Linked DNA regions of Daphnia pulex. The main gene of each other region encodes a partner of the protein of the gene in region 2 in a complex. Links are inferred from orthologs where the notes say so. Each region holds a gene or a part of one and is shown on either strand. Other genes may lie near its edges.

What was found.
Region 1: UDP-N-acetylglucosamine--peptide N-acetylglucosaminyltransferase 110 kDa subunit-like (region 2) and KAT8 regulatory NSL complex subunit 2-like share a complex: the UniProt entries of both Homo sapiens proteins name them as parts of the NSL complex. The link is inferred for Daphnia pulex from reciprocal best matches to the Homo sapiens genes OGT and KANSL2.
Region 3: the proteins of UDP-N-acetylglucosamine--peptide N-acetylglucosaminyltransferase 110 kDa subunit-like (region 2) and TGF-beta-activated kinase 1 and MAP3K7-binding protein 1-like are in contact, whole or in part, in a crystal structure (PDB 4AY6), measured with the Homo sapiens proteins. The link is inferred for Daphnia pulex from reciprocal best matches to the Homo sapiens genes OGT and TAB1. Residues at the interface, in NP_858058.1 of Homo sapiens: Asp441, His506, His508, His509, Asn567, His568, Pro569, Gly641, Tyr642, Thr643, Lys644, Ala646, Gln849, Phe878, Pro904, Val905, Ala906, Pro907; in NP_006107.1 of Homo sapiens: Pro389, Val390, Val392, Pro393, Tyr394, Ser396, Ala397, Gln398, Ser399.

Annotation. Positions count from the first base shown.
Region 1 is NC_060024.1:8,825,956-8,832,628, forward strand, and holds KAT8 regulatory NSL complex subunit 2-like, read left to right. Parts: upstream 1-2,651; 5' UTR 2,652-2,791; coding exon 2,792-3,021; intron 3,022-3,084; coding exon 3,085-3,396; intron 3,397-3,462; coding exon 3,463-3,626; intron 3,627-3,692; coding exon 3,693-3,826; intron 3,827-3,887; coding exon 3,888-4,010; intron 4,011-4,071; coding exon 4,072-4,209; intron 4,210-4,281; coding exon 4,282-4,380; 3' UTR 4,381-4,537; downstream 4,538-6,673. Other genes in the region: uncharacterized protein LOC124199515, read left to right, coding at 1,100-1,449, 1,598-1,719, 1,792-1,898, 1,968-2,100, 2,181-2,236; cyclin-dependent kinase 2-like, read right to left, coding at 4,578-4,673, 4,747-4,953, 5,013-5,333, 5,394-5,541, 5,747-5,874. UniProt on the Homo sapiens protein: Non-catalytic component of the NSL histone acetyltransferase complex, a multiprotein complex that mediates histone H4 acetylation at 'Lys-5'- and 'Lys-8' (H4K5ac and H4K8ac) at transcription start sites and promotes transcription initiation.
Region 2 is NC_060021.1:543,570-550,399, forward strand, and holds the start of UDP-N-acetylglucosamine--peptide N-acetylglucosaminyltransferase 110 kDa subunit-like, read left to right. Parts: upstream 1-2,924; 5' UTR 2,925-3,071; coding exon 3,072-3,144; intron 3,145-3,375; coding exon 3,376-3,526; intron 3,527-3,584; coding exon 3,585-3,607; intron 3,608-3,678; coding exon 3,679-3,708; intron 3,709-3,773; coding exon 3,774-3,964; intron 3,965-4,024; coding exon 4,025-4,093; intron 4,094-4,897; coding exon 4,898-4,958; intron 4,959-5,036; coding exon 5,037-5,123; intron 5,124-5,189; coding exon 5,190-5,238; intron 5,239-5,884; exon of another isoform or gene 5,885-6,151; coding exon of another isoform or gene 6,152-6,291; intron 6,292-6,708; coding exon 6,709-6,796; intron 6,797-6,830. Other genes in the region: F-box/WD repeat-containing protein 11-like, read right to left, coding at 1-259, 331-399, 467-783, 848-973, 1,045-1,188, 1,271-1,459, 1,519-1,650, 1,727-1,866 and 1 more. UniProt on the Homo sapiens protein: Catalyzes the transfer of a single N-acetylglucosamine from UDP-GlcNAc to a serine or threonine residue in cytoplasmic and nuclear proteins resulting in their modification with a beta-linked N-acetylglucosamine (O-GlcNAc).
Region 3 is NC_060020.1:5,655,541-5,662,370, forward strand, and holds TGF-beta-activated kinase 1 and MAP3K7-binding protein 1-like, read right to left. Parts: upstream 4,641-6,830; 5' UTR 4,475-4,640; coding exon 4,411-4,474; intron 4,348-4,410; coding exon 4,018-4,347; intron 3,954-4,017; coding exon 3,840-3,953; intron 3,766-3,839; coding exon 3,601-3,765; intron 3,538-3,600; coding exon 3,378-3,537; intron 3,303-3,377; coding exon 3,119-3,302; intron 3,056-3,118; coding exon 2,654-3,055; 3' UTR 2,582-2,653; downstream 1-2,581. Other genes in the region: uncharacterized protein LOC124192698, read left to right, coding at 1-221. UniProt on the Homo sapiens protein: Key adapter protein that plays an essential role in JNK and NF-kappa-B activation and proinflammatory cytokines production in response to stimulation with TLRs and cytokines.

The DNA.
Region 1 (6,673 bases), on a different chromosome or scaffold from region 2:
ACACCGCTGTTTGTTGTTGAATCAATATTTCTTTTCTTGGTTAATATCTCGGGGACGCGCTCCTTTTTTTTTTAATTTCTCCTTTCCTTCATTTGCCTCTGTGTGTTATACATATGCATATAATAACTATTAAAAATATCGCGCGTAATTTGTTTCATTTTTGTGAGAAAAATTGTTGGTTCATTTTTTTTTCTGGGAAAAATTTAATTTTTTCGGAATTGTTTCAACCCACACAATTGAGGAAACGAAATCAAGGGGAAAAAAAACCAGTATACATAATTAATAACGTTTTTAATTATCATGAAATCAATCTTTCTACTCTTTCTTCATGGCTTTCGATGTTTTGCCACGTGATGTAATTCATTAACTATCAGCGTGTGTGTGTGTGTGTAATCTCCAATTTTGTGTTTGAGTGTGAATTTGTAAGAAAAATTTCAAAAAAAAAAAAACCTGTTGTACTAAAAAAAAATATTATATATTCATCAGCTGACTGTGGGCTAGCTTTAAAAAAATCTATATAAAAACTATTAAAAAAAAATTGTTACAAACAAAACTGATGTACCAGAGCGTTCGTGTTCCTTTTGTTTTCTAAAAAAAAAAAATTGTAGTTTTTCAACAACAAGAAAAAACCGGTTCTCTCATCACACACACACACAAAATCTGCTTTTTTTATTTTTTTTTTCTTCTCCAAAAATCTCGTGTGAAAATTTAAAAAATGACTTTTTTTTTTATTTGGAAAAGAGGAAAATGATTTTGATTGTTCACGATTTAACCCTCTCTCCTTATCCTCCTCCTATATATAGAAATGTTTAAATTTTTTTTTTCTATTGTATTTTTTACCGGGGTGATGATATATGATGTTCGTCTGGTTGATATACCAATACAAAACAAAAAAAAGTTGTTTGACAGAAAATTAAAACAAAAAAAGAAAACTTGTTTTTATTGATTCAATTAAAAAATTTTAGAGGCTCCACATGAATAAGATTTAGCCGAGGGCTGAATTTCTCCCACCCTGCTATTTTTAATCATTTATCGGCTGCTATAAAGAGAGATAGGTGAAAAGGTGCACACATCGTGACAAGTTGTTGTGCAGGTGATCATGTCGCTTTACCTCATCCTGGCAGCCTGCTGGTTGTTGCTATCAGATCTCCAAGGATTGTCGTCGAAGGAATCCTGTTTGGGTGGCCGATCGCTGCGAGGATTGATTGAATTACCATCCCGGCATTATAATCACGACAGCAACAATATTACCACAGTTTCGTGTTGCGACGACCCAGTCGTCTGTCATGGCGGATTGGCCCTGAGAAATGAACAAGTCGAGGCTTCGTTGATTATCAACCAGCAGCCCCTTGGCCATTTCGACCTTCAACACCAATACGCCCAGCAACTTGTTCAATCGAACGACCGTGATGCAGCAGCAGCAGCAGCTCTGCAGCAACGCCATAAAAGGTAAACCTTTTTTTACCGCGTTTTCTCGGTGTGCACCTATAAATGTATATATACACGCCTTTTTTAAAAAACATTTGACTTTGTGTGGCACAAGAAACATTTATCCCCGCTTTTATTTTTATGGATTTTTATTATTATTTTTTAAAAGATCTGTTATTAATGGCGGACGCTGCGCTGGAAATAAAATGGCATGTCTGCCCATTCAAGTTCGTTGCTGCCCTGCCAACATGTCCGTATTTTTCCCCATTTCAGCTATTTCGGCCTTGACGGGTATATATCTCGGTTCAATTATTCTTATTTCATGCTGTAAAAAGAAAGAAAAAACACACGACTGATTTTCAGGGGAGCGAGTCCACGTGATTCAACTGCCGCCATTAATTTTGCAGCCCGTAATTTATGGCCGTTGTGAAACAGAGCAGAGCTCCATTTTCGACGCCGAATGCCAACAGGTTGATAAATGATAGGACGCCAATTGATGTGGGCATATTTCTATTGATCATTTATTATTTAAAAAATAGGAATTGACACCGGAAATGATGCACGTCGGTCGAGTCGATCCCGAAACCAGCGACTTGGAATTGTCCAGAGAACCGGTCATGGTGGAAAGTGGCTGCTCGTGTCGCTTCAATCGCCAGCCTCTTGACATTATCGGTCAGTCTAAAACATTTGATGTTGATCACATCGTTTTTTTTACCGTTTGAAAAAAAAATAAAACGTGATTATTTTAACAGATGGCATAGTCATGGACGAAACGATGACTTCATTCATAGATCTCTGGAGCGACTGAATTACAATTTTGAACTTTCACGTTTTTTGTTGTTTGTCGTTTATTATTGGGGAGAGAGAGAAAATAGACTATTTTGTTATGTTTCCGATTTCTTTTTCCGTGTAGCATTATTTATTAATACGACGTGAAAGTCGGTCAGCGTCGCGCATTGTTATCAGCTCGAGTGTGAGAGTGACCGCAAAAATAAAAACAGCTGGGAGAGAAAGCAGATCCACGTCGTTTGTCTAGATTGTTTTTTAATGGCGGGTTACCAGGGTTCGGGAACAAAAAGGCCGTTTCTTTACACAATATAAAATATAATACGTGTCACGTCCTCAATCCGTTAAAAAACCGTAACCGTTTACGACCAGCGTCAGCCATCTAACGGTCAACTAATGAAACTCGTGATCACGTGCGCAGAACAAATTGTCAGGAGTAGCGCCACTTGTGATTGTGTTTTTCCGCCATCACCAAGGCAGCGTTTCTTTTTATTTCCGTGTGTGTGTTGTTGATTGCATCATCTTAGATCTCATTAACACTACTACTCTCCAACGTGGTGTTTTTATTGAATATATTATGGCTTTGTACGGCAATCAGGGACCATCGTCTTCCCAATACTACAATCCAAGTCAACCAACATGTCACAACACACTGTACAATTGCTCTCAACCGTGCGTTGAAGGCTTCTCTTATTGCCTCGATCACATTTCGGAAGATCGAAATGCTCCCTACAGATCGTGCACTTTTGTTTTCTCAAATGGTAAAAGATGTGCCACCAATGTTCTCAAGGGTGAAAGGAGAGACGGGTATGAAAGTGAAGTTTGTGGTTTTCTGTCACATGTTTGATGCTAATCGTTGATGTTGTTTAGGTTGTGCCAGGATCACGCCAAGAGATCGGCCCTGTGCAAAATGAAAACACTCAGGAAGAGGCAGCCCCCAGAATCCCTTGAAACTCTCATAGATGATCTGCAGCACTACAGTGAAGCTGGAAATGAAGAGAAGGCCACTGGAACGCTCAGTTTAATCGAAAAGCTGTCCCTGAATGCTTCCACACAAAAACTGCAAGATTATGCAAGTGAATCAGATAGTGAAGATGAACTACCAACTGCAGAGCAAACCATCAGACAAGAGGATGACTCTGATGCAGAGAGTATTGACAGCGACCAAGATGATCCCTTGAGGTAAAATGCATGTTTTTAATAAGGCCCCAGTCAAATTATCTATAATGACTCATGATTCACTTGCAGGCATGCTGGTGTCTTTACTCCTGAAGAAGTGGTTTTGCTAACCCGCGACAAACTCATCAAATTGCAAGCGCTGTACCTTGACCAATTTAAGCGGTTGCATCACCAATTAAAGTGTGCACGAAGACGTTATCTCAATGGAGTAAAAAGAGAAAAGGAGAACGGAGGTAATAATCCATTCAACTTGATTTGAATTATGTTCCATTCAACTCCTTTTTTTTCGTTTACCAAAGTTGCAAGTGCTCCTTACCCGGATACGCCGTCAGAACGCAGGGCTGTGGCAAAGTTACGAAGTTTACGTCGTTTCCAGCGACATCGAGGCTCTGAGGCATTGCTGCATCATCAATTACAGGAGAAACGCCTCCAAGTAAATTATACTCTTTAACAATTTGTGTGTAATTGATACGAATTCAGTTCCCTCCTATCAGGTCACACAGGGAGTCAATTACAAAGCTCCACCTACCCCCAAGTGTTCCTTCGTCGACTGTGGTATCAAGTGCACAAACCCTGCTGTTCCGCTTACGAAGCATTGCACAAAACACGTTCTCAATGTAAAGATTTTGCCATACCTCAAATTATTCGATTAATTGCTATTGTGATTCATTCGATTAGGATTCGTCGCAAATGTTATTCCGCCCATGTGGGGCTATATTTCACGATAACGAATGCAAGGAACCCGTCATCAATTTCAGCGAGAATACTAGATGTGTCTATCACACAATGATGCCACCAATGATGCTTGTTGAGCAGGTATGTAATTAACCGGATTTTGTTCCAACAAAATAGTTTTTTTTTTCTAAATTATACGTATTATATTTTCAGGACATCTGCGTTGCGTCGCCACTAATTAGCGTCGATGACGAAATAGAGAAGGTGGAAGTGAAAATAGAAGTCGACGACGCTGGACAAACTTGCGGTTAATTGTTTCTATATTTCCCGGGTTACTATTTACAGTTCTCTACACGCTGTAAGGCCATTTCCGTAAACGTTTTGAAACGGTAGAACTTAAATAATAGAACGCTGCTCTGAAAGTTAAAATGAATGGTTGAGAGTGAAATATAAACTTGTGTGAACATAAGCGTAAAATCGTTGGACTGTTGGATAGTTGCTTGGAAAGACTATTCAAAATTGGGCAGTTGAAATCCTGAAAAGTAGCGATGGTGTAAGGCTTGTCTAGCAGATAACCTCTTGTTCGGATCGTATAACATAAGTTTCTGTTTAAGTAAAATTAAAGAATTCATTGGTTTGGTTGCGAACGATAACTTTTTTGTAGAAATGTAAACAAACCATCAGAAGATTGAGGCCATCGCTATCTAATCTTGGAAACATTTCTTCAAAACTGGAACCCGACCATTTGGGGAAAGAAGGCTTAAAATCGGGAAGCTGAGATACTCCTGGCCAGCAGGTCTCGTCAGGTGTCCCCATCGTTCGGAAAATGCGGAAAAGTTGATCAATTTCCGAGTCACCAGGAAACAAGGCAGTACGACCCTTAAGCTAAGGAAATGATTGAATTAATTTTACTTTAAAAAATGTACTGATGAGAAAGCTATTACCATTTCCGCAAAGATACAGCCGATCGACCAGATATCAACAGAGGTAGTGTAGATCTTTGCTCCCAGCAAAACTTCAGGGGCTTTGTACCAAAGAGTAACAACCTCATGTGTGTAGGAGCGTAAAGGGAGACCAAATGCTCTAGCAAGACCAAAATCTGCCAGCTTTAACAGACCATTTTTGTTCACCAAGAGATTCTGTGGTTTCAAGTCCCTGTGAAGTACCCTGTGAGAGTGACAGAAAGCAATACCCTTCAGCATCTGCCAGAGGAAGCTCTTGACTGCTTTGGGTTCCAGACCACATGGCATCGAATCCAACAGTTTCTGCACCAATAAAATTGTGTTAGCTCAGTGAAAATCAAATGTGCAACTTTTAACAACAACCTTCAGATCTTGGTTTAGATATTCAAAGACAAGGTAAATCTTTTTCTCAACATGGACTACATCAAGCAGTTTTACAACATGTGGATGGTCAAGTTCTTTTAAGACAGTAATTTCTCTTATGGCAGTGCTGGGCACTCCTTCTGATTCCCTGTACAACAAAAACGGTTTTGTTATTATGTAGGTTGCACCCCAATGAAAGTAATTGCCATGAGTTGTGGGTGATGTTAACGAGCTGAAAAGTTCAGATAATTGTGTCTGTGATATGTCATGAAAATTAGCACATCACAGATAAAATCATCTGAAATCAAAACTCCCAAAGCATTCTGATGACAAAAACAATGGAATTTACTTACGATTCTAAGCGAATTTTCTTGAGAGCCACAAGTTTGCCTGTTTCAATGTCTTTGGCTTTATAGACTATGCCATATGTTCCTTCACCGATCTTCTCAATCTTCTGAAATTGTTCCATTGCCTCGTGCATTTTGCCCAGCGCCCAGCACAAAGCACATTCGAACTCAAAAATGTGATGTAGACACTGATTACTCTTGATGAGCTGGCTCACTAATGATTAATGAACTGGTTCTCTTCACTTGCGATTTGGGCGACAAAAGGTTTTCCCTTGTTTCCACGCTGCCGTTTCGCGCGTTTTCTTCTCATTCGATCATTCAAGCTTCCCGCTTGGAGGCCAAAAGCTCCGCCTACCGTTTATTTTTATCAATTCACGGTAATTTGACGCAATTATGATCGTTCCTAAAGTTTTTAAAACCAATTTTTTTTGTAAAATTTATTTAATAAATAGTTAATTACATTTACAGTGCAAAAAGTGTAGTATTTATAATTTTGTCTATTTTTACTCATTAGAAGCTAGCAGCATCTAGCGGTCTTGTTAAACAACGACGATTTATTTTTCGTATTTTGCCCTCTTGTCTTATCAACATCCGTGCGGGAGATCTAGTTTCAGTAGTTATACATAGAAATTTTGATTGACGTGTATTTTCAGTCCATTTAAAGTGAATCATTCTCATCTGAAATTATAGCAACGTTTAATTTAATTGAACGTAGTTGAAAACCGTGTAATTCGCCATTCAAGAAAAATAATTGCGCCTTAACGATGCTATTCAGCTTCGTCAGTGTTCCATAATAGATCCCCAGTAATATATAAGAATCTTTATCTGTTGATTTTGTGTGTCAGCTTGTTAAAATAATCTGCGCTGAACATACAGCGTAGCGTGATGAGTGTAGATTCAGGGTATATGGATCAAGCATGTGTGTGGTGTCGT
Region 2 (6,830 bases):
TTTGGCAGCATCCAAAAAGTTTTTCACACTTAGACGGAATGATCGACGATCAAATTGACTAACAAGGACTATCTGAAATTCGTCAACTGCTAATGATGGGGGAAACAGTATATCCAAGTACGGTACTGGAGGAGGTGGGATTGTCTTCATTAGACATCCAGGATTGGGACTACGATTTGATTTGAGAGCAGTCTGGAGATCCCAAATTTTTATTTTACACGAATTTTCGCAGCCAACGATGTATTTATTTGAAACAAGCCTAATTGAATGAATAAATTGATTAAATATGTATCAGACATCGAATTTTATTTAATATTTAATGTAAAATACCGGATCGAAGCGAGAGTTTCACGATGGGGAATTTTGACAATACATTGTCCCGTAACTACATCCCAAATTCTATTTTAAGAAAGGGCCAAATTATTCTGGTTAATGTTTTAAAATGTATGAATTTGAACGTGGTTACCTAATCGATTTTCCCCGGTCACCAGGGCCAGTAACTACCAATCCGTTCGCATAGTGGAAGCCAGAAGGGATGTCTTTGGAATTTAACTTGATAACGGATTTTATTTCAAAAGATGTCGTACTCCGAATTTCAACAGTCACATCTTCTGATAGTGACTGATAGTGTAAAAAAAAAATTACGGTGTAGATTTCGTCCACGAAAAGTCCCCACATAATTCCGGGTCCCACAATGACTGTCCTATGTAGTATTACTACTTCTTCACCCATGAATGGTGATAAGCATCTCAAAGTGAGAATCCAAGATAGACCTATTAATGACTTTAAGAAGGAAATTTGAATTAAATTAGCTTGAGCAAGCAAAATTGCAATAACTTTTCTTTACCCTAGTGTAACAGGATAACAGAAGGTTTTTCCATAGACTCAGTCCGCATTCTGAATGATATAATGATTCTTCGTCGTTTTCTTCTTCTTCTTGAATGCCACAGGAATCCATATCTATCACGTAAAGCTAGAGAAATAAAGCATACATTTCATTAAACTTGATGAAAAAGCATTAATTTTATATTGCAAATAATATACTAGATCCCTAGTTTTCGTATCCCAGACACATATTTCCGGATGGTGAATAAATGAAGCCACAATGAAGCTGTCGTTGATTTTAACGGATTTCAAAACCGGTATAATTTCGTTGAACTGAATTTGCATGATCGGGATTTCAAGAACCTAAAATATAAAAAATTATAACACATAAATTAAAAAAAACTATCAAATACCATATTCTATGGGTCTTTAATCAGAAACATACATCTTCGATTTCAAGGGTCCATCTATTTCGTATAACAATTCTGCGATCTGGCTGTACTCTGACAATCCAATCTCCATTCAAGTCATAATAGTCTGCTGAATTATAAAAAGTTGATAAATTATGGGAAATGCATCCAAATTCACTTTTGCGTTCAGAGTATTTCATCTTCTTCCAATTTGATTCAAGCACCTATTATCAAAGAAAACTTGATAAAGATGATAAAAAGATGACAAAATAAAATGTTAGACCTGTAATTCAACTTCAATTAAACAGCAAATTTTACGATAGTATTCAGCAGAGTCATCTTGAAAATCCAAACTTTTATGCTTCATTCCTTTCAAGGCAACAAACATATCCTTCCAGCATGGAAAGAGACGCATCTGGATACATAGCAAAATTATATTATAACATGGTTTGATACAACATAATAATCACTGCCATAATAAGCCTACTTACATTTCTACCGAGTAATGTTTTCCAGATTTTCCCTTCCAACAAAGCTTCTTGCCAAACGACGGATACCAACTCAGCCCGTCGAAGACAATAATAATCCAAATATCCAAAAATTTGATCCAATATGTGCTCTAGACCTCGCCCTGGAAACGTATAATAAGAAATAATAAAGTATACGAAAATCCCATTTTGATACTGTATTGCTTACGATGAAGGTTTTCAATCAAGTCCCACTCAATCATAACTGTAACAGAGTAAATCTGATTCGAGTGAATCTGAATTTGTTTACACTAAGAAATCAGTAGCCTAACCACAAATTCACAACTAACACAAACAAGTTGTTTGAATTTTTCACACATGTGATACCATGCAAGTCGTCTGCTTTGATAGAAAGCCGGAATGCTAAGTTGCAAAACTGCTGAGAAAGAAAATTTATACGGAATATTGAAATTGAGCTAATTAAACTAATAGAGGATAAAACGAAAGTGGGAAATTTAACGATTAAACTCACTTATCCTCAGTTTTGGAACTAACCATTTTGCCAACTTCTAGATCTAGACTCCTTTGATTTAGCGCGGGCGGACGGACGGCGGCGCGGGCCCAGATCACTCAGAAATTACCTATTGTTTTCTTCTCAAAGTAACTAAGTTAATAATAAATTTATCTAACTAGATAAATATAACAAATTTGAATAAGCTAAACAACAAAGCTAGTTTTAGACCGCATCCGCCTATCCCAATTTCCCCACCTTTTTTCACAGGAAGAGTTTCAAAGCTTGGCAACTCAGCATCCGTTACCGGTCTATAACTATAAGTGTTTTTGCTGTAATTTTTTTGTTTTTTTGTTTATTATAATGTCGTTATAATTAACGGCCGAGATTTTTACTGATGTATTAGTTATTCAATTACATCAATTCATTTACCCTTTGATATAATATTGGCTGTGGAAAATGAGATGGCGGCGCCACTTGACTCGCCTATCAAGGGTTCGCTGTTTAATTAATCGAGGGAAATTTAATTTCTATTAAAATTGTTTTTCAAATTTTTTCTATTGACTATTACTAAACACTAGTTTGATGAACGATAATAGCCTCCTACTTACCACTCAAATGCTCAATCAAACATTGCTTATCAGGGGCACGGCAGATAGAAAAGAGATGCGCCCTCTGGATTAGTTTATGGCATAAAAAACGCACTAAGTCACTTGAGGCTTTGAGCAGCACATACACTTGCTTACAGTGAAGCAGTCATTCCATTGTTATCGAGTCTCTTTTCCAAACGATCTAGACTCATCGTGTAGCCATTACTTGTTCCATCTTCCCATCAGTGTCAAACTTTAACACAGGAAAATGCAGTCACTTCAAAATCAACAAATTGCAGGAGGTATTGTTCTAAAGATACCTGATCAACTTTCATCTTTCAGTAAGTTAATGTCAAAGCAAGTTTCTAGTATCTTGCCCCATTTGTTTTGGAACATTGGAAGGGCAGAGATTAGATCAAACACGCGATAACAGGATGATGTTTTTACCGTCTATTTTTTTCAATTTTTCAAAAAAGTTATACATTCATAAACACATACCAAACATTTCTGTCAAAAAATTTTATTTCAAAATTTGCATTGATAATATACTAACTTTGTTGTTCATTCTTAAGGTTTGGCTGAATTAGCCCACAGAGAATACCAGGCAGGTGATTATGAAAATGCTGAACGTCACTGTATGCAGCTGTGGCGTCAAGATCCAACAAACACTGGAGTCCTTCTACTCCTATCTTCAATACACTTCCAATGTAGACGCTACGACAAGTAATATTTTACACATTTTGTACAGATTTCAATGTTTACAATTGTATTCTCGTTTCAGGTCTGCTCAATTTTCTACATATGGTAAGGAATTAAGGATATTTTGCAGAATTAATGCTGAGTTTTGTACTAATCTAAAAGTTCTTCCCTTCTAGCAATCAAGCAAAATCCACTATTAGCTGAAGGTAGTATTAAATTGTATTTGTTTTTGGTTTATGCACAATTTCTATAACTTTTCTTCTGTTTACAGCATATTCAAATCTTGGAAATGTTTTTAAAGAACGTGGTCAATTGGCTGAAGCACTTGATAATTATCGTCATGCAGTTAGACTGAAGCCTGATTTCATAGATGGTTATATTAATCTGGCTGCTGCCTTAGTTGCTGCTGGAGATATGGAAGGAGCAGTCCAAGCATATGTCTCAGCATTGCAGTATAATCCAGTATGTTGATTACTTTTGTTTTATTGAGTGCCTTTACTTATTAAGGATCAATCTTTTTAGGATCTTTACTGTGTCCGTAGTGACCTAGGGAACTTGCTTAAAGCTCTTGGAAGATTGGATGAGGCCAAGGTAAAGAAATCCAGTAATTGATCAGAAATATGGGATGCTCAGCTCATTTGTTTAATGTTCATATACAATGTGCTTCAGATTATTATTATTGTGTAGTACTATTGTTGATAATCATCACATGATAATGGCCCCAAAGTGGAATTTTAAATTTTTAGGTGGAAAAGACTTAGGACGTAATGTCTGTGATATGTTCATCCCGACACTCCATAAACTTTCTTGATATCTATAGGAAATGTGGTGGAAAATTCTGCAGTAATCCATTCTTCTGTTCAACGATTATGTTAATAGTTTCAGTTTTCAGCATATTTTCATCGAGATTTTCACGGAGAACCAACATATCGAAAATTTGTATGTGCATCTTCTGCTCCGAGCCATTTTTCATATGCTCCTCCTAAACCTTCTGCCTACCACATAGGATATATCCATAGGTTCTATCCAGCTAGACGTCTAAATGCAGAAAGCTAACCTCGTGGTGGATTCTACTTGCTCTTTTCGGTAGGCGGTAAGTGCAGCCGCGATGAAAACAACTCTAAACGCGCTCAAGCTCCCATAGCATGCGAAATTATTCGCCGCACCAGCCGCTATCCCTTACCCATGCTCCCTTGCGATTGCGCGCGCGCGACCCTTTACCCTTGTCAGCTAACAGCAGCGCATTGCCCATGATAAGTGTAATCTCCAGTGTAAGCCACCCAGAATATGGGGCTTACTAATATTCGAAACACTGATTAATAATCATAATTTGACATTCTTCAACATTTAACTGGGAAAATAATTTTATCCGTATTTTACTTCATATGTGGAAAGGCTTGCTATTTGAAAGCAATTGAGACTCGGGGTGATTTTGCAGTGGCGTGGTCCAATCTTGGTAATGCGTTTTAGTCAATTATTCAGAAGTTGTAAAATGCTAATTATCTATGCGTGTTTGTTTTCTCACGAAACGTAGGATGTGTGTTTAACGCGCAAGGGGACATTTGGCTAGCCATTCATCATTTCGAAAAGGCTGTCACTTTGGACCCCAACTTTCTTGATGGTAAAATACTTTTAACATTTGAAAATGTGAATTTACCTCATTTAACCATCATATTTCTTTTTACAGCTTACATAAACTTGGGCAATGTTCTGAAAGAAGCTAGGATTTTCGACAGGTAAGATTTAATAATATTATGATGTCGAAGTTCTTATATCGATAGGTTAAATAGTGTGAGGGATGGAAATAGATATTTTAAGAGATGTTGTTTATGGACGAGAAAAAAGTTGTTAAGAATGTTGTTAGTTTCGGTGATTGTAAATTTCTCGTCTCGTGCGTTTGTAGCTTGCGTCATTTCGAGTTGGCTCGTATGTGCTCTTCTTTTTTTTTATTTTCCTCTCTTGGTTTGCCACTGTCTTGCGAAAAAAAAAAATGCACAGGAAACGTGCCCTCATTTCGGTAGGACCCTTCTCCTTCTCCCACCCAAACATCACCTCCGACGTATTTATTTTTTATTTCTATCATTGAGGACTCTCCAGCCAGTTTTTTATTCTGAATGATGATCATAGTATTTATGATAACGATAGCTATGTCCAAGTTTCGTATTCGCGATCAGAAAATTATTTTTTAACTTTAGCGTTAATTTTGTGTTAAATTTTCAAATTATTTGTGCTAATTCTGGTTGTGCTTTTATTTTTTAGTTTATTTTTTATTAATGGGGAGGAGGAGGGTGGTAGTTAGAGTGTTAAGGGGCGGGGTGACCAGTCTACCGTAGATGATGTGGGGAAAGTTGAGTAATCGAAGGGACTGCGCACGCTCATTCCGATCGGTTACGCTCCACTCACGGGAGGTGGGATAAAAATGGCTTGGGCATCCTTGACGAGACACCAGTTGCCTAGCTTGAATCGTTAGGTTCGTCATGAAATTTTTTACATCTCCAGACACGTTCACTTATTGTTGAAAACATTTACCTGTCAACTAATTGTTTGACCAAAGTCAGAGTCTTCTTTCTTGTGATGCCCGTGTAGTATTCCTTTAGAATTCATAGTAACTCTGTAACGTTGGGCAAAGGTCATGCCCACGTTATCCAAATGGACTACCAGTGTGTGGTTATCTACACGATTGTCAACATTTCGGCTGATGAAAGTCGTTACCACTCTCTAGCTCAATCAGTGAATGACAGTAGTCTGCGCAGTGGATGTTTGGTTTGCGTGGTTTCTCGTCTTAAACGGTATGTCGATCTATTTGATGCAGTATAGTGTTTACAACATTCGCATGCGAACGAGGAGTGTCCTCCTTGCTGTTTTCTGCGATGACAGTGAAGAGAAGGATATCTAGTATGTAGTGCTATCTCTTCTTTCAACGCACGATATCGATTGATTCGCTCGAAACAACGAGGGGTAGGACAAAGGAAGTGCGCTGGAATCTGCGCGTCTCAACACAAGCGTCGGCAGACTAACCGAGTTGACAATTTTAGCCAGTGGGCATCTAAAATAATGTTAAAAATAGCTTTAAAATAAACTCTGGCCAGTGTTGGAGACTTATTTTGCCAATGTTTATTACTTGGCTGGTTTTACTTCCCTGTCGTTTAAATATTTGTAGAAGGGATATAAGTCTTAAGGTTTTTTTTTTTTTTTTATTATTGCAGGGCCGTTGCAGCATACTTAAGGGCGCTAAATCTTAGTCCTAACCATGCCGTCGTTCACGGAAATATGGCCTGTGTGTACTACGAGCAGGTAATTGAAAACTTAAATGTGATAAAAAAATGTA
Region 3 (6,830 bases), on a different chromosome or scaffold from region 2:
GAGAAACGGCCCGCGTCCTCGAGCCACTCCACGGACCGATGGGCGGCATGTCGCATCATCAACAGCAGCAGCAGCAACGTCACTTGCAGCGCCACAAATCGTCGGAATTTGTCTCGATGATCAAACGTGGCGGTCCGAACGAGTCCGGAACCGTCGTCGTCGTCGAGCCTACCCAAAAAGTGGGCAATCGACACTTCCGCGCCGTCCGCCAACCCAACTGACGCGACGATTTTCAATTGTGATTTCTTTTCTTTTCATTTCTTATTTTTTCTTTTGGGTTTTTTTTTTATATTCATTTTCTTTTCAATCGGAAAAAACCTTTGGGTCCTTCTCGTCCGCCCCTCCAAAAATATGTTTCCGTTGCAATCAAACGGAATGACCGTCAGATTGACTTCTAATGGCCTTCACATGCCTCAGTGTGAATAGAAGAATGGGAGAATTATAGAAAGAGAAAAGCGACTAAAAGGCTACCGAAAATCGCGTTTTGTTTGTTAATGGTGGCCGATAGAGGACGACGACGAGTGCGGCACTACGGTTGCATTGTTTCGCTGCTGCCGCCGCGCAGCCGAATGAAAATGTTTCGTCTGATTGCCTTTTGATTTCGTAGTTCGTACACGGGAAGAAAATGCAAGAAAAGAGAAAAAGCTAGATAATGATAATAATAAACAATAAAATACAAAAAAAAAAAAGACGCATCAGCAGAAAAAAAGGACCCGGAACACTTTTTTTTTTCTAGAGAGTCCGCGCTACATTTTTTAATAATCATTTTATCTTTACCTCTTTGTATTTTTTGGTATTTCTTTTTTCAATTTATTTCTTCTTGTTCTTGGCTCTTCTGTCCCATTTGTTTTTCCTATTCTTCTTCCACCCAGTGAAGCAAAGAACCTGGAGTGGTACGAAAGTAAACAAGAGAGTGTTGCAAAGTAGTAAAACTTTCAGTTGCTATTTTGTGTGTGTCTTAGTGTGCGTGTGTAAGTGTGTGTGTGTTCCCCACCCCCTCATCTCCAATTCCCTCCCCTTTATTCCTCCCTTTTTATCCCGTAACGCAATTGCTCGTGACTGATGTGAATGTGACCTTTTTGAATATATATATACAGTAAATATTTGTTCTTTGGGTTTTCGTTTCTTCTTTTTTGTGTGTGGGGGCGGCTGGAGAGTGGAGACGGACGAAAGGAGGAAAAAGAAAATGTTTGTAATAAAACTTTCATTCCGTAAAAATTCTGCCACTGCTGACAGTACTACTTTTTGTTTTCTTCATTGAGCAACCCTTGCGGCTTAACGACGCTAAAGCCACGTCATAAAGTCAATGCCTTTATAACGTAGTGCACAGCAGTACGTCCTCATCCAGGTTGGGGTTATTTTTCTCTCCCTTTATTTGAAAATAATAAAGAGAAAAAAGAAGAAGAAGAAAAAAGAGGACATTGCTGCTATTGAGCTGTTTGAGCGGCTGCCGGAGCACGATCTCACGGTTGAGCCGGAGGGAGTGTTGCGCGGAATCGTGTTTTATTTTTTTATGCAAGGAAAATCTTCTTTCGGGTATTATCAAGCCACACGGTGATGAGTCGCTCACGATAAAGAGAACGAACGCGACAGCGCGATGCGGGTTGATTATTCTTCCGCCCAGACAGCATCGATTCCCTGTCAAAAAGGGAAGATTAAAAAGGCCTGACGTCGTTCCCTTGGTATGAAACTATGAACAGTATGAAATCGTATGGGCCCGAATAGTCACTGACGCTTCTTTCTCTTCTCTAGTTGGAGAAAGGTTATTCGCCAACTATCCACTCACGTCCGTTCGTACGCACGCACAGTCGTCACTCGTCAGATTTGCATGAGATTGCCGACTATGGGGTTTTGATCGGGAATTTTCCATAAATTGATTGCCATCTCGCTTCGTCAGCTTAGACTTTCTCTCTCCACTTTGCCAGTTGAAACGAAATCATTTAGTTTCCTTCAAACTTGTGTAGATGAAGTCTTCTTCAATGAGGTTTATTCATTTCTCGTCGTTGAGTCGTGGAGTATAGAATGTGGTTTGCGTCTTATTGGTCAAATTCCCAGATTCCAGTTGACTGTGGTAGCAGGACGATATGCGGTGTCATTATTAAGGGTATAGCCGCTCGTGTCAAATTCCTGGAAGAAAATGGCATCCTCCGACAGAGCAGCACTAGGAGCTGGTATAAAATCGTCAAACTCGAGGGAGAACGCTGAACGCCGTTCATCCGTAATTCATTTTTCACAAATTATTTATTATTACGAAAGTATTAATAAAAGTCTCTAAGAAATTTATACTGCGGTTTACAAGAATTTGCTTTAGGCGGTCTCAGAATGTGACACGGAAAATGATTACACTGAAAAAGAAATGTCTGGCATTGTTGCAGCAAAAACATTTACTGATTCACTGCTCTCAGAAAATTTAAATCACTCAGTGTGTTCAGACCTCGTGTCGTGTGACGAAGCAAAAAGTGTTTTCCGAAAAGATGTTATCAAATCAATTAGTCCACTGAATTCATAACATTTCTATAATTCCTCGAATCTTCAACTGTGAAAAGACTTCAGCAAACTCGACAGTATTCGCAAATCAAGGTAAATCTTAAGTTAATTTTATTGGGGTAATTTCGCCTGTACATATCAGTATTATAAGCCAAACACTTATAAATTAGTATATCGCATCCTCAGGAATCGTGCCTTCATCTTTTGCTTTTCTGACAGCTTGATAAAAGTTGGTGAAATCCACGTAGGGACCAATCCTCCCATCTTCATCAAGGAGCATATTCTGAGATTGATTTGACTTGATTTGCTCTGAACTCTCTGTTGAAGATGTAATAGAAGCCTCAGTAAGCGTTTCACTAATACTATTGCCAACTGTAGAAGACAGTGTGTTTAGCTGAGTGTCAAATTTCAATCCCATCGTTGAGGAATCATTGCTGTATGCATTGAGGGAAGTATTATAACTACGTAGTGTGCTACTTGCACTCAGTGGAGCAGACAGTTGAAAGTTGAAATTTCGAATCAGTAATGTTATGTCATCTCGTTGACAGCAAGTGACATGATTTGGGTCCTATTTCATGCCAAGAAAATCAGAATTAGCTTTGCCCAAGACAAGAGTAGTAAACTTCCATACTTCCATATAATGATCGTGATGAATACGTGCGATTCGATCGACAACACCTTGAGCTACACCCGTTATAGTGCTTTGGGATCCAAATTGTTCCACAACAATCTGAGCAATTTCTTTGTTAGCCTGTTCGCTATTTGTCGCTTCTTCTAACGCTCCGTACAATCCTTGAGTCGTTAACAGTAAAAACCTTTAATAAAGAGAAAAACAGTAGATGGCTATGGTTGTTACGGAATTAGATAATTGTCGTAGTTTTTTTTTTTACCTGCAAGACTCATCCAGATTAATAGGTCCTATGATTTCAGCATCAGCAATAACAGGTTCCGCTTTAGCTGCACTGAAGAGATCGAAATCTTTGTAGCCTCCTTTAACAGTATAATTTCCCAAGCAACGAGTCGTTAAATGACTTCCTTTTCTCGGCAAATCTGCACAAATCATTTTGAATCAATTAATTATCTGAGATTAAAAAAGAAAAATAATTGAATCACTTTGAAGTTTTTCCACTTCAAGTCCCATATGCGACAGACGGAGCACTTCATCCTCGTTGGTCAAATCATGATCTACCGTTAGCTGCATTACTCTCAAAACTCCTTCTGCGTCGATTTTACATAATAAAGCTCGGCAGTCTCCAACATTAGCGACATACAAGTGACCTATACAAGTGACCAACAAGAATATCATAGAAATGCTTGTAGTATTGAACCACTGAAGCTGTTGTGGTACCAACCATTAAAGATTAACGCAACTGCAGCTGAGGCACTCGCAGACAACCGAACATTAGCAGCTCTTAGTCGATTCACAATATCCGGAAATTGTTGGTATGCATCATATGATTTGATTCCTATAGTAAGATTAGAGTTTTTGTAAAGAAGGTAAATGTCAGGTCATGCTGTATAAGACAATACCTTCAGGTAATTCACATAAAAGATTTGCTCTCTCAGCCAGTAAGTCATCAATTGATTCGAAATAGCTGCGCTCTACTGCTAGGAAAGCTTCATTTAAGACTTCTTTCACAGCTTCTGGGCTGGTTTTATCATTGAGCTGCCCAAGAAGGATTTCTGCAGGCATGCGCTGTGCAGCAAAATCTGCCACAGAAGATCCATCTTTCCCATTGAATACTCCATACAGGAATGTGTGATCATCAATTTTGAAGTGGAAACTTCTATCTTCACATTCACGGGCCTCTCTTCTATAGCCATCTTCTTTATAGATCTGATTTGTTGATAACCCCACACCTGTCAAAAAGAAAGTTAAGACACATTCAATTATCGGACTAAGATTTTGCTTTATTTAAAAACCTGTGTAGAAGCAAACGGGTAGGTCGTCTGTCCAACTTTTAGTTTCAGAAATTTCTGCTGACATTAGAATGGCTAATCAAGGTTTGCAGTATTATGCAGAGTTCATTAAAGCTAAAGTAGGGTAGATATTCTGTTATACTTATCACCACACTTAACACTATCGTCAGTCCTAACAGAAATGTGAAGTACCTAATGTGCTAATGATTAGTGAACGAAGCGTCGTCTTCTGCTAGTTTGTTTACCAAAAGTGGTCTCGCCATCTGCTATTCACATTGAAAACTATCACAAAAATATTTCCCGCCAAGGTTGATTTTTAAAATTCAGCAGTTCGTTTTCGTAGTTCGTCTTTTCTCTTTTGGCAACAGCTAGGTCCCCCGTCAGCTGGAATCTCACTATTTTAGTATTGTGCATTTGTCTTTTTCTTTTTCAATTTTTATGGAAATGGTCATAGTCAACTTATAATAAAAATGACTTGATTAACTCCAAGCTAAAAGAACATTTTTACTAGGAAGATCGAACCTCCATTGTATATTTGATGGATTTGATGTGCTATGCACAATATGCCTTTCTTAAAGCTTTTATGTTCGTTATTGAGCACATTTTTCCTGAATACTGAATTGTTCAACGTTATTGAGAATTGAGATCCCTAAATGTTTAACTGTGTAAACATTATGCTTTAATGAGTAATTCGTATTTCGATTCGAAATTGTTCTATTTTGTAGTCAATTTGAGTTTTGGTTTTATTACATGTTGATGTTATACTTTTTCGTTTTATTACATGTGGTCTTTATCTTTGCCATAATCACTACCGCAGGCAGACGGGCTCTAACTGGGTTTGGTAGGAAGGTGGTTTCAGATTAAAAATTTCTTCTACAGTATTGGCTTGAATTCATTCCCTGTTTCTGTTTGCAGCCAAGAAATTGTTCGATATGTAAGAACGGGAAACCGAGGACCTGAAGGATTCAGTCCACGATTTTCCCTCTACCTCTCTGCTATGCTGACTCATGGCGCCAGTATTGCTCATCACAAACAGTGACATCATGAAATGAATATGGATTGATCATGTGTTCGAAACTTGGATAAGATTGACAGAGGAATATTTTCAAAAAAGCCGACTGTCCTTCAAACGGTTCGAAATTTGTATAAAGTGAGTTTTAAGCGATAATCATTTAATTTAGTATTCATTTTTATATTGGTTGTTGTAGACCCATCCCCAGCAACGACAACCTGCAGAAGGAAAGGCACGTAAAACTTGTCATGCAGTGGTGTAGAGGTTGGGTGAGAACGACACGTGTTACATAACCATTTGGTATTCATTTTGATATTGGTTGTTGTAGGACCCATCCCCAGCAACGTCAAACTGCAGAAGGAAAGGACAGTCACACTCGAAGGTCACGGAGATCATTACGTTTACGTAAAACGTGTCATGCAGTGGTGTAGAGGTTGGGTGAGGACGGACGTTTTGCATCATTATCAAGCAGGTACAACACCCGCAAGGCTTTAGAGGTGAGGGTGAGAAAAAAAATAGTATAAAAGGAGAGAGAAAAACTGAAGGAAAATCAGTCGAGTGAGCATATCCGACACGGCAACAACTGCAGCGCACTCACCATCTGCATTCTTCACCGTATTGCCAGTTCGCAACCATGGGTAAATATTCTGTCTTTACATTGAGTTTTTTATCAATTATATTTTTGTTTTCCATGTGTTAATATGCCTGTTAATGTTTAATAATAATGTTTAAATTTATTTACTGTTTAGTCAACTATGGCGTCGTGCTCCTGTTGGGTGTTGTATCGTTGATGGGTGGGTCGACCATTGGTGTACCGATGTCTCCTTGGTATGGCGCAAACCAAACTGCAACGCCACCGCCTTCCTACATAACTTACGCAACGACCAGTTTCTGCACCGAGGTCTTCAAGTACTACACCACTAAAGCACCGGAGTTTTATACCACAACTTACGCTGCCCGAGTCACTACACTGACGCCCTGAAGTATTACTCTGCCCCGAGTTACTACACCACCAAGGCGACCGATTACTACATGACAACGCATGCTGCCCCATCCTACTACACCGAGGCTCCTAAGTATTACTCTGTTCTCAGCTACTTACTGCACCGACGCTCCTAACTACTTCTCTATTCCCAGCTGCTACACCGAGGCTCCCGCTGATTACTCCACCAAAGTGGTCGAGTACTACACCGAAGCGGCAAAGTACTTCTCTGCCCCGATCAACTCAACCAGAACTGAGGCGGCGAAGTATTACGCAGTCCCGACTTGCCACAAAAAAGCTGCTCTTTCGTGCTACGTTGAACTGAAACACCACACTGATGCTCCAGTCTACTACATCACGATCTACGTTACACCTAGCTACAACACCGCAGCCCCCAAGTACTACACCGAAGAAGCCGCCTATTACACA